3 linked regions of the Oryzias latipes genome follow. The protein of the gene in region 3 interacts with the protein of the main gene of each other region in a pairwise test. Links are inferred from orthologs where the notes say so. Each region holds a gene or a part of one and is shown on either strand. Other genes may lie near its edges.

Evidence for each region. The genes of interacting proteins can lie anywhere in the genome.
Region 1: the proteins of stac3 (region 3) and c17h1orf35 interact in binary tests that used the Homo sapiens proteins (3 or more experiments, as listed by UniProt). The two-hybrid records come from large-scale screens. The link is inferred for Oryzias latipes from reciprocal best matches to the Homo sapiens genes STAC3 and C1orf35.
Region 2: the proteins of stac3 (region 3) and eaf1 interact in binary tests that used the Homo sapiens proteins (3 or more experiments, as listed by UniProt). The two-hybrid records come from large-scale screens. The link is inferred for Oryzias latipes from reciprocal best matches to the Homo sapiens genes STAC3 and EAF1.

Annotation. Positions count from the first base shown.
Region 1 is NC_019875.2:27,890,616-27,894,668, reverse strand, and holds the start of c17h1orf35 (multiple myeloma tumor-associated protein 2), read right to left. Parts: upstream 2,803-4,053; 5' UTR 2,348-2,802; coding exon 2,251-2,347; intron 2,133-2,250; coding exon of another isoform or gene 2,111-2,132; exon of another isoform or gene 1,811-2,110; intron 1,166-1,810; exon of another isoform or gene 1,132-1,165; coding exon 981-1,131; intron 890-980; coding exon 844-889; intron 768-843; coding exon 685-767; intron 316-684; coding exon 243-315; intron 1-242. Other genes in the region: guanylate kinase, read left to right, coding at 2,910-2,943.
Region 2 is NC_019874.2:26,172,723-26,176,892, forward strand, and holds the start of eaf1 (ELL-associated factor 1), read right to left. Parts: upstream 2,803-4,170; 5' UTR 2,657-2,802; coding exon 2,554-2,656; intron 1,205-2,553; coding exon 1,110-1,204; intron 775-1,109; coding exon 638-774; intron 511-637; coding exon 338-510; intron 179-337; coding exon 1-178. Other genes in the region: mettl6 (methyltransferase-like protein 6), read left to right, coding at 3,252-3,524, 3,918-4,052. UniProt on the Homo sapiens protein: Acts as a transcriptional transactivator of ELL and ELL2 elongation activities.
Region 3 is NC_019865.2:7,551,742-7,555,736, reverse strand, and holds the start of stac3 (SH3 and cysteine-rich domain-containing protein 3), read left to right. Parts: upstream 1-1,176; 5' UTR 1,177-1,484; intron 1,485-2,138; 5' UTR 2,139-2,171; coding exon 2,172-2,179; intron 2,180-2,617; coding exon 2,618-2,696; intron 2,697-2,966; coding exon 2,967-3,123; intron 3,124-3,271; coding exon 3,272-3,369; intron 3,370-3,539; coding exon 3,540-3,600; intron 3,601-3,911; coding exon 3,912-3,995. UniProt on the Homo sapiens protein: Required for normal excitation-contraction coupling in skeletal muscle and for normal muscle contraction in response to membrane depolarization. Required for normal Ca(2+) release from the sarcplasmic reticulum, which ultimately leads to muscle contraction.

The sequences.
Region 1 (4,053 bases), on a different chromosome or scaffold from region 3:
AAAAAACAAATTTGTAAGTTTAAGTGATTCATATTTAATCATATAGTCCTGAATCGACTCATTCTTTTTGCCATACTCAACCCTCGTCAATATTGCTAAATAACTAATGCTAATAAAGTCAATAGTTAAAAAATTAAAAATCAAACACATATTTACTACTAATTTTTGACAATTAAAAAATGCTGTTTTAATACAATAATGTTTCCAAATGGCAGTATGGATGATGTAGAAAGACGACTTACTGTAAAAATTTGCAGACCCATTTTAGCCGCCTCCTTTTCCTTTTGGGACAGCACCATTTTTCGTGACCCTGCACTTTAGAGGGAAATAAAGATGGAGTCAACTTAAACAAACCACAGACAGCCAGTCACCTTATCTCCTCTGAACAGAAGGTTGAATTCTGCCAAACCTAAAACTGCAAAGAAAAGTCATGAAATATCCAAGAATATTATTCACCAGCAACCTGATTAACAAATCATTTGACTCATTTTAGTGTATAAACTAGAAAAAAAAAAACTATTAACAAACTCCCATTTGTCATTTGGACAATTAAACATAACTTCTGTACATTTGTTCAAGCAAATTGCATTTATAATAAGAAAAAGAAAAGTTGAAATTTTCCTAAAGCAAACATTTTGCATAAAAAAAATCTGTTTTATGACACAGACAAGAAGATAATCTCACCTTGAGCTTCCTAAACCTGAGATACGATCCACATCCTTCTCTTCACCATCAACCTCTTCTCTCCGGCATACCTCTACAAGATCCTGAAAAAAAAAATCAAATTCAACTTACAGGACTTGACAGCAATTTTTCCAATATTGACCAGCAACGTATCCATACCTCTTTAGTAAGCCCTGTTGGTTGTCTCTTTATATTCTTATGGCCTCTAAGTTCAGAACAAGAAACGCAAAGCATCACTTTTTGTGTCCTAATCTTCAAGAAGGTACAGGAAATGGCTTATGGGAAGTCGCACGTACAGGGCAGCCATCAGTGCCTCCTCCTCTGCAGCTCTGACTGCAGCAAGCTCCTCTTCTTTGGACAAAGGAGCACCACCTTTCTTGTCCTTTGCATACCAGGTCAGATCTTTCCCTTTCTGCCATCGTCCTACGGGAGCCATCAAGGAGTTTCCTGGAAAAAACGCAGAAGAGGTCAAACTATTTAGGTAAAGGTTCTTCTTTAAATTCTACATTTCAAATGCCACAAATTCAGAATACAAAATGTATTATGCAGGATTGTTATACTTTATATTTAGACTTTTTCTTTTATCTAGATGTTTTAATGTTTTGCACCAAATAATCATTTCAATAAATCTATTTGACTTTTAAAGATGATCATGGTTACACACATTTAAATGAAAATATTAGCAGTCCAGACTTCTCCAGTAGATGTATCCTTTTGCATTTTCCCCCATAAAGGTTCAAGTGTAAGAATCAAATTAGAATAGAATAGAATAGAATAGAATGGCTTTATTGTCATTGTGCATAGTACAATGAGATTTAAGCATCACCATCAGTGCAAGAACAGTAAGGAAGGGAAAAGTAGTAAAGATAACATTGTAATATAATAAAATCAAACAAGCAAACAAACAAACAGTATATACAAGTGTGCAATATAAGCTGTAAAATTGATATCAGATCAATGTTTTAAACTTCCTCCAGCTGAGTAAACTTTGTCTTTTAGAATATCTCATTATAGACAAGTGCAGTCTTGTTGTTAGACTGTTTTTTTAATTCCAAGTATTTAGGCAATCCACACATAAGGCAACAGTCTCCTGCCATGTTAAGGGTGGGTGTTTTGAGCCTCATTTCTGTTTGACTTTGCACCTGAAAGGTTGTGGTTTTAGCTCATATTTTACACAGACAACATTCAGAAATCTAAGCAGCTATGAGAGCTTGTCGATTTGCTTTTGTTACATGTTTCTCGGTCCCGACTACTGTGGTGATCACTACGTAGCTCTCTCTGGGCATGCTGACCCGCTGGCAGCGGCGAGGGCACAGAGACAACGAACGTGTCGACCAGAGGAGGCATTGACAGCACGTTTTTGCTTTCTTTACGGAGATTAATCGGGATTGATATCAAGCTATTAGATCAAGCCAAGCCTTGTGTAATGAGGAATTCAATAACAAAAGGTAGGAAAACAACCTAATTTTAGGGGGGCCACACGGGGTTTAAAAGCATCTGGAGCTAATCTTTCCTGGATGTGTGGCACGCGCTGATAGCGTAATCGACTGCACGTTATGGACTTACCGAGATAATTCTCTCTGTGTTTATCGACCTTCACTTCATCCCAGTTGAACTGGTCTTGGCCTCCACGGATGCCTCCGGATCTCGATGAACCAAACATCTTCAAAAGGGCAAAAAAGTGGAGATTCGGGGGGGAAAAGTAACACTTAGCTAGCTAGCTAGCAGCTACGTTGGTTAGCAGAGCTGCGTGGTCGGTGCGGGCCGTTAGCGTGGACTCATCCAGGAAGTTTAGATTCCCAGTTTCCACGAAAGAAACCCACACGGCTGCGTTTGTTTCGACAGCAACTTCCAAACAAACAAACAACCCAACAACGCGACAAAGAGCAGAGCGTTAAAGCTGGACTCTCGCGCGCGCAGCTTAAAGTTGCAAAGACCCAACAAACAATTTTTTTATTTAAGTAAAAAATTTAAAACGGTAGATTTGTAATCCTCAGCAATAAAGATCTGACTACTGCAAATAGAAGCAATACAACTTTTTTCCCGACTAACGAGCATTTCCTGCTCCTTTTGTTTATTTCATTTGGTCGCGTCCAGTGGCGCGCGCGGACGTAACGTGTTTGGGTACGTAGTGATGACGTAGGCGTCTCGCGGTGAGGAAAAGGGCGGCGGAGGCAGAAAATGCTCCGAGGACCGTCTGCAGAATCAGAAAAACCTGCCTCCCGATGTACATGAGACATTTTATCAGACTGTTTTCAGGTAGGAATGAGGATTTTTGACTTCCTTTCCTCCTTCTGCTGTTCTGTTCTCTTTTTCCCATCTCTGTGTCGGAACCACTATTCATTCCTGGAGACACTTTGTTGTCACGGAGCTACAGGAAAAGATGGTGCCCAAGAAGTCAACCGGTGTTTTATTTTATTTCAGGATGCATATAAATCCTAGATGGATGATACAACTTTTGATAGTAGCATAAAAACGTCCAGTATCATCTATTTTGTTTAATGTCAACTTAAATTAGGAAACCCTTTGTAAAATGTAATTTGGGAGAAAAATTACATCACTAACAAAATTGTCTTTCTTTTTTCTTCTTCTTTTTTAAAAATATTTATAAGATATCCAGTTTGCTTATTCATGCAAATTAATGCATTTTCTACCATTTGTCACTAAAAATGTGCATTTTGAAGAATTAGAATATAAGCTTATATCTGTGAGATGTTACATACCTTGCAATATTAAAAAAAAAACAAAAAAAAACATTTAAGTTGGAACCAATTTTTTAGGTTTTGGTTTACTGAAAAGTCTGATAATCTGTTGAGCATTTTTAAATGGTATTTATTCGGAGCAAAACAACATTGGTGCAGTTTGACACAACAGACATTTAACATATTATATTTTTAACCAACCAGTGAGATACTAAAGAAATAAATTAACAGAAAACCGTCAAACCCAAGAGATAAAATCAGTTTATTACTTTGCCACAATAATATCTACATTCAAGTAAACAGGACATCTGTAATGCAATACATGTGTATTTTCTGTGTGTTTTCTTAAGGATAATCAATTGATCTTCTCTTAGAACATGTACTTAACATTGATTGATAACATCTCATTTTAATCAATTTTATATAAAAAACAAACATTTTCTGTCAATTTTTTACGTAAAATGTTCTCATTGAATTAATGAAAGTTGTGTTTTGATTTGGTTAAATCACTAGTTATGTGTTAACAGTGTTTAACCAAACTGTCATGTAAACTGAAATGTAGATTAAAAAAATGTCCAATAGAATTTGACAGTGACGCTCAGCCTTTCTGGTTCACGGAGCCGCTAGTGCTTTGTAGGCTTCACGTGATTTTTATTTGGTTGTAAAT
Region 2 (4,170 bases), on a different chromosome or scaffold from region 3:
CCTCCGTTGGCCATGGGGTTGCGGCTGGGGGAGTTCTGGCTGAGCGGCCGGGGAGCATCGCCCTCGCCGTCGCTGCTGCTGCTGTCGTCGCCGCTCCCCGAGGAGCTGGCTGAGTCTGAGGAGCTGCTGCTGCCGCTGCTGCTCATCTGTTCAATCATCTCCACCTCTGCCCGCAGCTCTGTCGACAGCAGCAAGATCAGCATTTCATATTTCAAGGTCTTGTCTTTTTTTGTACTCACATTTGTCCAAATGTTTTTCATTCTTTGTCATCTTTAGCAGGGTTTTTTCTGAGAAATCATGACTTTGTAAAACACCAACAGTGCAGGAACCTCCTCACCTCTCTTAATGTCGTCCAGCTGAGGCTCTGGAGAGGGGTTGTCCTTAGATGGGGATGGGGATGTTTTGATCCCAGTTCCCGGCTTGGTTGGGGCTCGGAACTGAGAGCCGGGCTGGCTGGAACGAACCGACTGCTGCTCAATCCGAGCCTGGATCTTACTGCTGCCCTCCGCTCTGTTCGCACAGATACATACATCAGCCAACTTTTCCTCATCTTGAGCAATTTAAAGATCTTATAGACAATACACATCTACTACCCAAAGTCAGCAGGACTCTGGAAACCAGGACACTGACATCCCACCTTGTTTTCTTAACCTGGATGCTGCTGCTGAGCTTCTCCAGTACAAATTCGCCCGTGTCATGATTAATGATGAGCACGCAATCCTTTTGATACGGTCGCTTGTTTCCTTTAAATACTGTCATTGGAGGTGTGGAGCCCTGAAAGACAAAGAACAGGTAGTTGCAGTTTTATGTATTTAAAGCTTGGAAAAGGGCCCTTTTAGAAGGTTACATCAAAATCAAAAAAACTACATCATCTTGTTCAAGAGCAGTGTTATAGTGAAGATAAACAGACTTTTTCAGTCACAATTCTAGGATACATTCAGAACATAATTTTTTTAGACACATGATTGCTTAGATTTTTTGACTGCACTGTGACTGATCAAAACAGCTGTCAGACCTTTTTGTGACAGAAAACATGAGTCAGCAGAGATCAGGCAGATCATGATGTGCATGCATCTCTGACCAGATTGTTAAAAAGAGGAAAGCCTTACTGGAATATGAGGTAACGTTATTGTAACTTCATCTCCTTTTCCGACCTGTAGCTTCCCTTCACAGCTGGTGTCAATCGATGCTGGTTTGAAGTCATCTGGAAATGAAATGTATCGAGTCAAATTTGTGTTCTCCCTGATTGCCTATTTTTTTATTTAGAGGGAAACACCGTGAACTGGCATTCACACATATATGGAATTATAATTACAGTTGGAGAATAACTACCTGGAAGGGAAAAACAACCAAAATACAAAAAAGCAATTACAGTAATTTCATACTAGCATAAGATGAAAAAAATAATGTGGGTTGTTTTCCCTGGCTGCATTTGTAATTCTATCAACTATAATAAATGAGATAAAATGCTAATTTAATACAGATAATTTTTTGTTCTGTACAAAACAAATTGAATATGTTTTATAACACTATAAATCAATTGCATTCAAAGTTTGAATTTAACATGACCACTTTCTCCGGAGAATGCCCCAAGGTGACTTTTACTGAGATCTAAAAGTGAACTAATGAGTAAATGGAATACTGTGACGCGGGGAGGTCAGTGTTTAAAATAGGACATCACATGCATCATAAAACCCTTTTACTACAACAGCTCTGTAACACGGATGGTTTCTCTCCCAAGTCCAGCCAAAGTCTATTTTGACACACAAGTTCAAAATACAACACAGGCTTTGACTCAAAGCAATTGAATCGTTTCTTTTTTTTGCATTTCTATTTTAATTTTTGTTTACATTTTTCAAACTGTCTTCACATAACTGGTCATGGAAACAATATGATTGAACCTGAGTGAATAACAGTATGAATTTTTTTAATAAAAGTAAACAGAAAAGCTTTTTAGTGTAAATAAAATGCAATTCCAAGCCTAGGCGTCACAATAAAAGTGTTTTGGTATCAATAATAAATCCTATATTGTGAAACATCTACTTCAAACATCTACTTCAATAAAGCAACACGAATCCTCTGAGAAAAACTGGATATCTCTAAATACCACACTGAACAAGAAACACGATGAAGACTATAAACCGTTGTCCCTGCATCCAGTTGTTTTATTCAGCATTTATGCCCCAACAATCCAGATTGTGTTTATTACAACAGATAGGATCTGCATTTTATTTTGAAGGAGAATTTCAATTGCCACTCCATGTGGAGCTGGAGGCTAAAAAATGAGTCCTGGTTGGAGGCAAATATAAAAAACTTGTTTCTCACAAAAAATTAGATAAACTTTGGTGTAGTAAAATAAGTATTGGGTAGTTAATAGCATAAAGTGTAAAAGCTCAACCAAAAAAACAAACTGCTTTTATCTTCAAATGACTGAAAAGTATTGAAGAGAGTCTTGGAGAGAGAGCCTCTACATTTACAGCAGATAACCAGCCGCACTCCAGAGTTTGTTAAGAACTTAAAGGTCTTGTAAACACAACGCGGTCTCACGCTCACATCGGATGGTGTGAAAGGAAGATTTTGGCCTCTTCTCAAAGCTTTCTCCGAGCTTCAAAACATGCTCCTCTTTGTCCAGCAGCGGGTTTGTACTACCGTTCATGGTTCAGTTTGTCTAAAAGTCTAACATTTACGTATATTGGTAATAAGAAGTGAGCTAACAGTCGCAACTGGGAAGAAACAGGATAATCCAACTGGAAGATAAAACTAGCTGCAGAAGCTAACAGTTAGCAAAACATCCCTGACGTCACTGTGCTCTCTTTTGATTTTGGTTCGACTATGAACTACCTCTAAGATCAGACGGCGGCAAAAACTGTGATAAAACTTGGTTGTCTTATTAAATGATAATTTGCATTTAGATTAGTTTTTTATCAAACAGAATTATTTTAGTACATTTTAGTTTCATAAACAATTTATATAAAAAGCCAGATGGCAACGCGGAATGCAATTACGTGCACTCATCGGAAGGATTTCGTGAACGTACACAACAGAGGAAATGAAAAGAATTGTTTGAAATTGAAGTAGGGTTTTTTATTGTAGATTTAGCTTATTCAACCTTTTATTTTATATTGTTTTATTGAAAACGTAATAAACTGCATAAATGTTCAGGAATAACAACTGAAAATGTCGTAAATTAATGACTTTGTACAAAGAAAGACGGAAAAAAATCTCCAAAAACTTTAAAGCAGCGTGGAAATATGATGAACCGAGCCGAAGATACCGAGTCTACGGACGACACACCAACATGCCTGTCCGGACAAACGAAAACATCTTCCTCCAGAGATTTAACCCAGGAGGAGCAGGGTAGATTCAAAACTGAGCGAGTTCTTGTATCTGAGTTCAAACAAATAAAACTGGAGAAAGAAGCTCGAAAAAACTGGGACTTGTTTTACAAAAGAAACGCCACAAATTTCTTCAAAGACAGACACTGGACAACCAGGGAATTTGAAGAACTCAAAGAGTGTCGTGAGGTAAGATTACTTTTATACATGGACTTACCAGTCTTCATCTGTTTCTATTTCTTGTTTTATACTCACAAAATAAATAATCTTCTATTTAACATGTAGAACATTCTATCTATCAAATAGGGATTTCTTTCTTCTTCTTCAGATTATTTATAAATGTTAAATTATCTAGTAATTACGCCATTTTTTAAAACCCTAAATCATATATTAATTAATAAATTAAAATATATTAATATGAATAATATATTCACATTAATTACTTAAATGTAATATTAAAATATTAAACTATACTCTATTTATGCTTCTTTAAAGTTTAAGATGCTGAAAAATATTGTAGGTCAGATGGCCAAACAAGCTTATTAAACTAATGTCCAGTTATTCTTGTGCTTTGCTTCACAGTTTGAGTCCCAGAAGTTGGTTTTGTTGGAAGCTGGCTGCGGCGTGGGAAACTGCCTCTTTCCTTTGCTGGAGGACGACCTCAACATATTTGTTTACGCCTGTGACTTCTCCCCACGAGCTGTTGAGTTTGTAAAAGTGAGGCATTTCCCACAACAACTTTGTTCTTATTATAATGTCTTTATAAGCCTTGTCCTATATTTTCTTCCCTTTTTTCCTCCTTTATATTGCTTCATTTTAGAAAGTTTTTTTATTT
Region 3 (3,995 bases):
TTCACTTACTTACAGATATCCGTTAGAGGAGGTAGCCACAACAAACAACAAATGCTGATTAACCTTTTTTGCATTAAGCTCCGTGTTGGCTAAGTTTTGAAGTCTCCGCTTTTGGATCGCGGGTGAATCAAGTTAGCTAGTTAGCAAGGCGACTAGCCAGTGAATGTTTTGAAAATGGTTGGTACTTTCAACAATTAAGCGAGACTTTAACCATTACATAATCTAATTCACGAATTAGCGATGTTAACCAGCTATCAAGATTTACGCAACGTCTGACCGTCAGGTTTAAAAACAAAGAGCAGTAGCGCTTCATTTCACTGCGCTTGAGTTCCTGGGTAACCGCTACGAGCTATGCTAGTTAGCAAAGCTAAAGGACTGAAATTTACTTGGTTCTGGAGAGTCCCAGCAAAACCGAGGGATGTCCCGCTCCCCGTCCACAACGATCCGGCCGTTGCTTTTAGTCTCCGTTCTGCTGAACCGTGTGGAATTCACATTCAATTCAACAACCATAACGACCTATGTGATCCCAAATTCACATTTGCTCCTTGTGTTTTTTTTCTTTCCCTTTTTCTTACAAATTCCAAGCAAAAGAAAAAAGAAAAAAAAATAATAATGGAGTTTTCTTTTGGGCATGCGCACTCAGCGCGTCAGGAATATTGTACCCAAAATGCAACGGGACCTTTGTAACGCTTGTCTAGCGCAGGTTGGAGCGTCCTGACAGAGGACACTGCATATATATCTATATATCCATTTATATCTATATCTATATAGATATATATGCATCTACATATCTATATATCTAGATATATAGAGATATAGATATGTAGAGAGATTTTAAACTTTAAAACCAAGTCCAGATGACATCCCCTAAACCTACTACAATGGAACCAACCTGGATGAATGAGAGTCTTCATAGACATACATATAGAGATATGTATATAGATAGATATAGATATAAAGATCTATATCTATCTATATACATAGATAGATAGATAGATAGATAGATAGATAGATAGATAGATAGATAGATAGATAGATAGATAGATAGATAGGGGGGAGTGTGTGTATCCCCTTTTCCTCCCGACTCAGGCTTAGTGAGAGATACTCAGCTGTTGCAAACTGTCAAGTTCACTCAGTAATGCCAAGCCTGCCATGCACAAAAATACACACACTTGGGCATCCATAAATAGTTAGATCTTTCCAGTCCCTTTACACTATTTTGTATATTGGCATATGTAAATATATATTACTTTAGTGAGGTTACATTCAAAGTGTAAAATCCTCTGAAGCGAATATCAAGAAACCACAAATAGGGGACCAAAGGCCAAAAGGCCTGAACTGACAGGACATTTTGGGCGGCTGCTTTGTTGGAGTCAGTAGCACAGATCGTACGCCACACCAGTCATCGTCTTTTGCTCAAGACCCACCATAGAGTTTTGACAATATACTGGATTTGTAACTTCCTCCGTGGTCTTTCACTTAAGGTAGGCTACCATTGCATATATAAACAATGCCTGTTAATAACCATTTCTGTTTCTGTTCTGTAAGTAGATTAAATTTGTTAAGTGAATTGTTCACCACTCTTAAAATCTGTGTGGTTTATTTAAAACAATTTTGTTCAAGATGATAGCTTGGATTTCGTTACGTTTTTTTTCCTGACTAGAAAAAAATCCAAAATTTAGCAATTATGAGATTTCAAAACCCAAAAAGAGTTTGGGTAAAGCTGTAGGTGACAATTTGCAAAATCCAAGTTACACTGTCAAACACAAAATAATGAAGCATATTTGTTTTGTTTTGTTTTTTTACAAAAAATTTCTTTCTGTATTTGATATTTCAACTTTTGCTGTGTGAAATTGTAGGTTGGTTAATATAAACATGCGAAAGTAAATCTGTGGCTAAATACATTTTACATTGGCATTTGTCTATTTTTAAACACTGGCAGTCATAAAATCCTAAACATAGAAACGTAAGGGAGTGATTATATGAACTCTCACAATTAAAAAAGAAAAGAGGTCCTTTCAGATGTACATAAAATATAATATTTTATAAACCAAAGTTTTTATTTTATTGAAATCATTTAGAAATTCTAAATTTTAAGTCAATCAACCCCATGTCAAACGTTGTTCCATTATTTCTAGGTTGGAAAGTGTTGACTTTGTCTGCATTGCATCATGGATCAGTGAGTACAGATCCACTCATCATTTGTTCCGTCAGTGTCAAAATGTTATAAGCTTGTTAGTTATCAATTAACTTAAAACTCAACTTGATAAGTGATACTATTAGAGATCTTTTTTGCAATGAGGTCAAAGTCTACCTATTAATTTCTATAAAATAATTAACTGAAGTTATTTTATAAAATTGTATCGTTTAAGACGAGTGTCTTTTGTAACTTGGAGTAGATTTTTCTTCTGATTACATGGTTTCCATGATGCTTGTTTTTTTTTCCCTAGTCTGTCATGGTAAAATAAGTTCAGTAAGTTCTCCTTTAGTGTCATTGCTGAATAAACATGCACCAGTAGTAAACCTTTGAGTTTTATTTATTAATTCCAAAATTGTGTTTTTTTCCCAATCCGTGGCTTCGGCAGCTTATAGTTTTTTCCACGTTTATTTATCTCAGGGAGGATGACAAAAACTCTGTGGATATTCATGACAATCCTCCAGTCCCTGACAATGTAGTGAGGGAGGAGGGAGACACAGTGAGTGACAGCACCATGCCAACCACCCACCATTAGGGCCATTCCCAGGATGTTTAAAATAGCCACCAGTTGGAACAAGGCTGCAGTCCACTGTCAATTCTGAAAATATGACCTCAGATTTAGATTTCCCTGAAGATAGTTTTATACATGTAGTCTAGACAGTTTGTTTCATTGCCAAAACTCTGACTCATACAAATCGAGATTCTTTATGAACACCACCCTTAACATGTTTCACATTTTCTGCCTAAGCTGTTTCTGCTATTTCTCAAGGTCTACTTCATATATGAAGAGGAAGTTGAAGTGGAGGAAAAGGAACCAGAACCTCCCCCGGAACCCATTCTTCGGATCAATGACAAACCCCACAAATTCAAGGATCACTACTGCAAGAAACCTAAGTTCTGCGATGTCTGTGCTCGCATGATAGTCTGTATGTGCTCACCAGGATACGCAAATACACAACCAGTCCTGTTAAATTTCCCAAAGAAATGTGTTTAGATTGACTTTTCATAGTGATGCTATTTTCTACATCAAAATGATGTGTGACTTTTACTGTTTTTCATTTGCACATCTTGCAGTGAACAACAAGTTTTGTCTGAGGTGTAAAAACTGCAAAACCAATATCCACCATTCATGCCAATCCTATGTCGAGTTCCAGAAGTGTTTTGGCAAAATTGTGAGTTTTATTCATCATAAAAAATGTTATATTTTACACTGATATCAAAGAATATGCAGTCAAATAGATAGACAGTCAATAAAATCTGTGCAAACTCAGATTATTGTGTTTTATAATTCAAAGGCTATAAACTCTTATGAATATTTTATTTTTTATTTTTGTGTTTCTAGCCACCTGGATTTAGAAGAGCTTACAGCTCCCCTTTGTATGGCAGTGACCAACCCGATCCAAGTGAGTCCAGAAAAGTTAGCTCAAAATAGACATGATTATCATAATCACTATTTTGAAAAAAAGAAAGTTACTTGTGTTGGAAAATTGCTGTAGCTGATTCAACAATATAATTGAAATAAAGAAAAATTACACCAGTTTGTACAGAAAATCTCCTTTTGGCTTAGCATAAAAATTAGATTACATCTTCAAAGGTGACATCTAACCTGGACTGTAGGCTTCTGCATTACTAGTCTTTTTAAATATTACTATCAAGCAGTCAAAATTAAATAGATAAATTATTGATTCAGCTCAATAATTTTGCATTCCACCAGATAATCCAAACCGGAATGACCCCGTCTTTGACACCCTGAGAGTGGGCGTCATAATGGCAAACAAGGAGCGCAAAAAGAATGAAA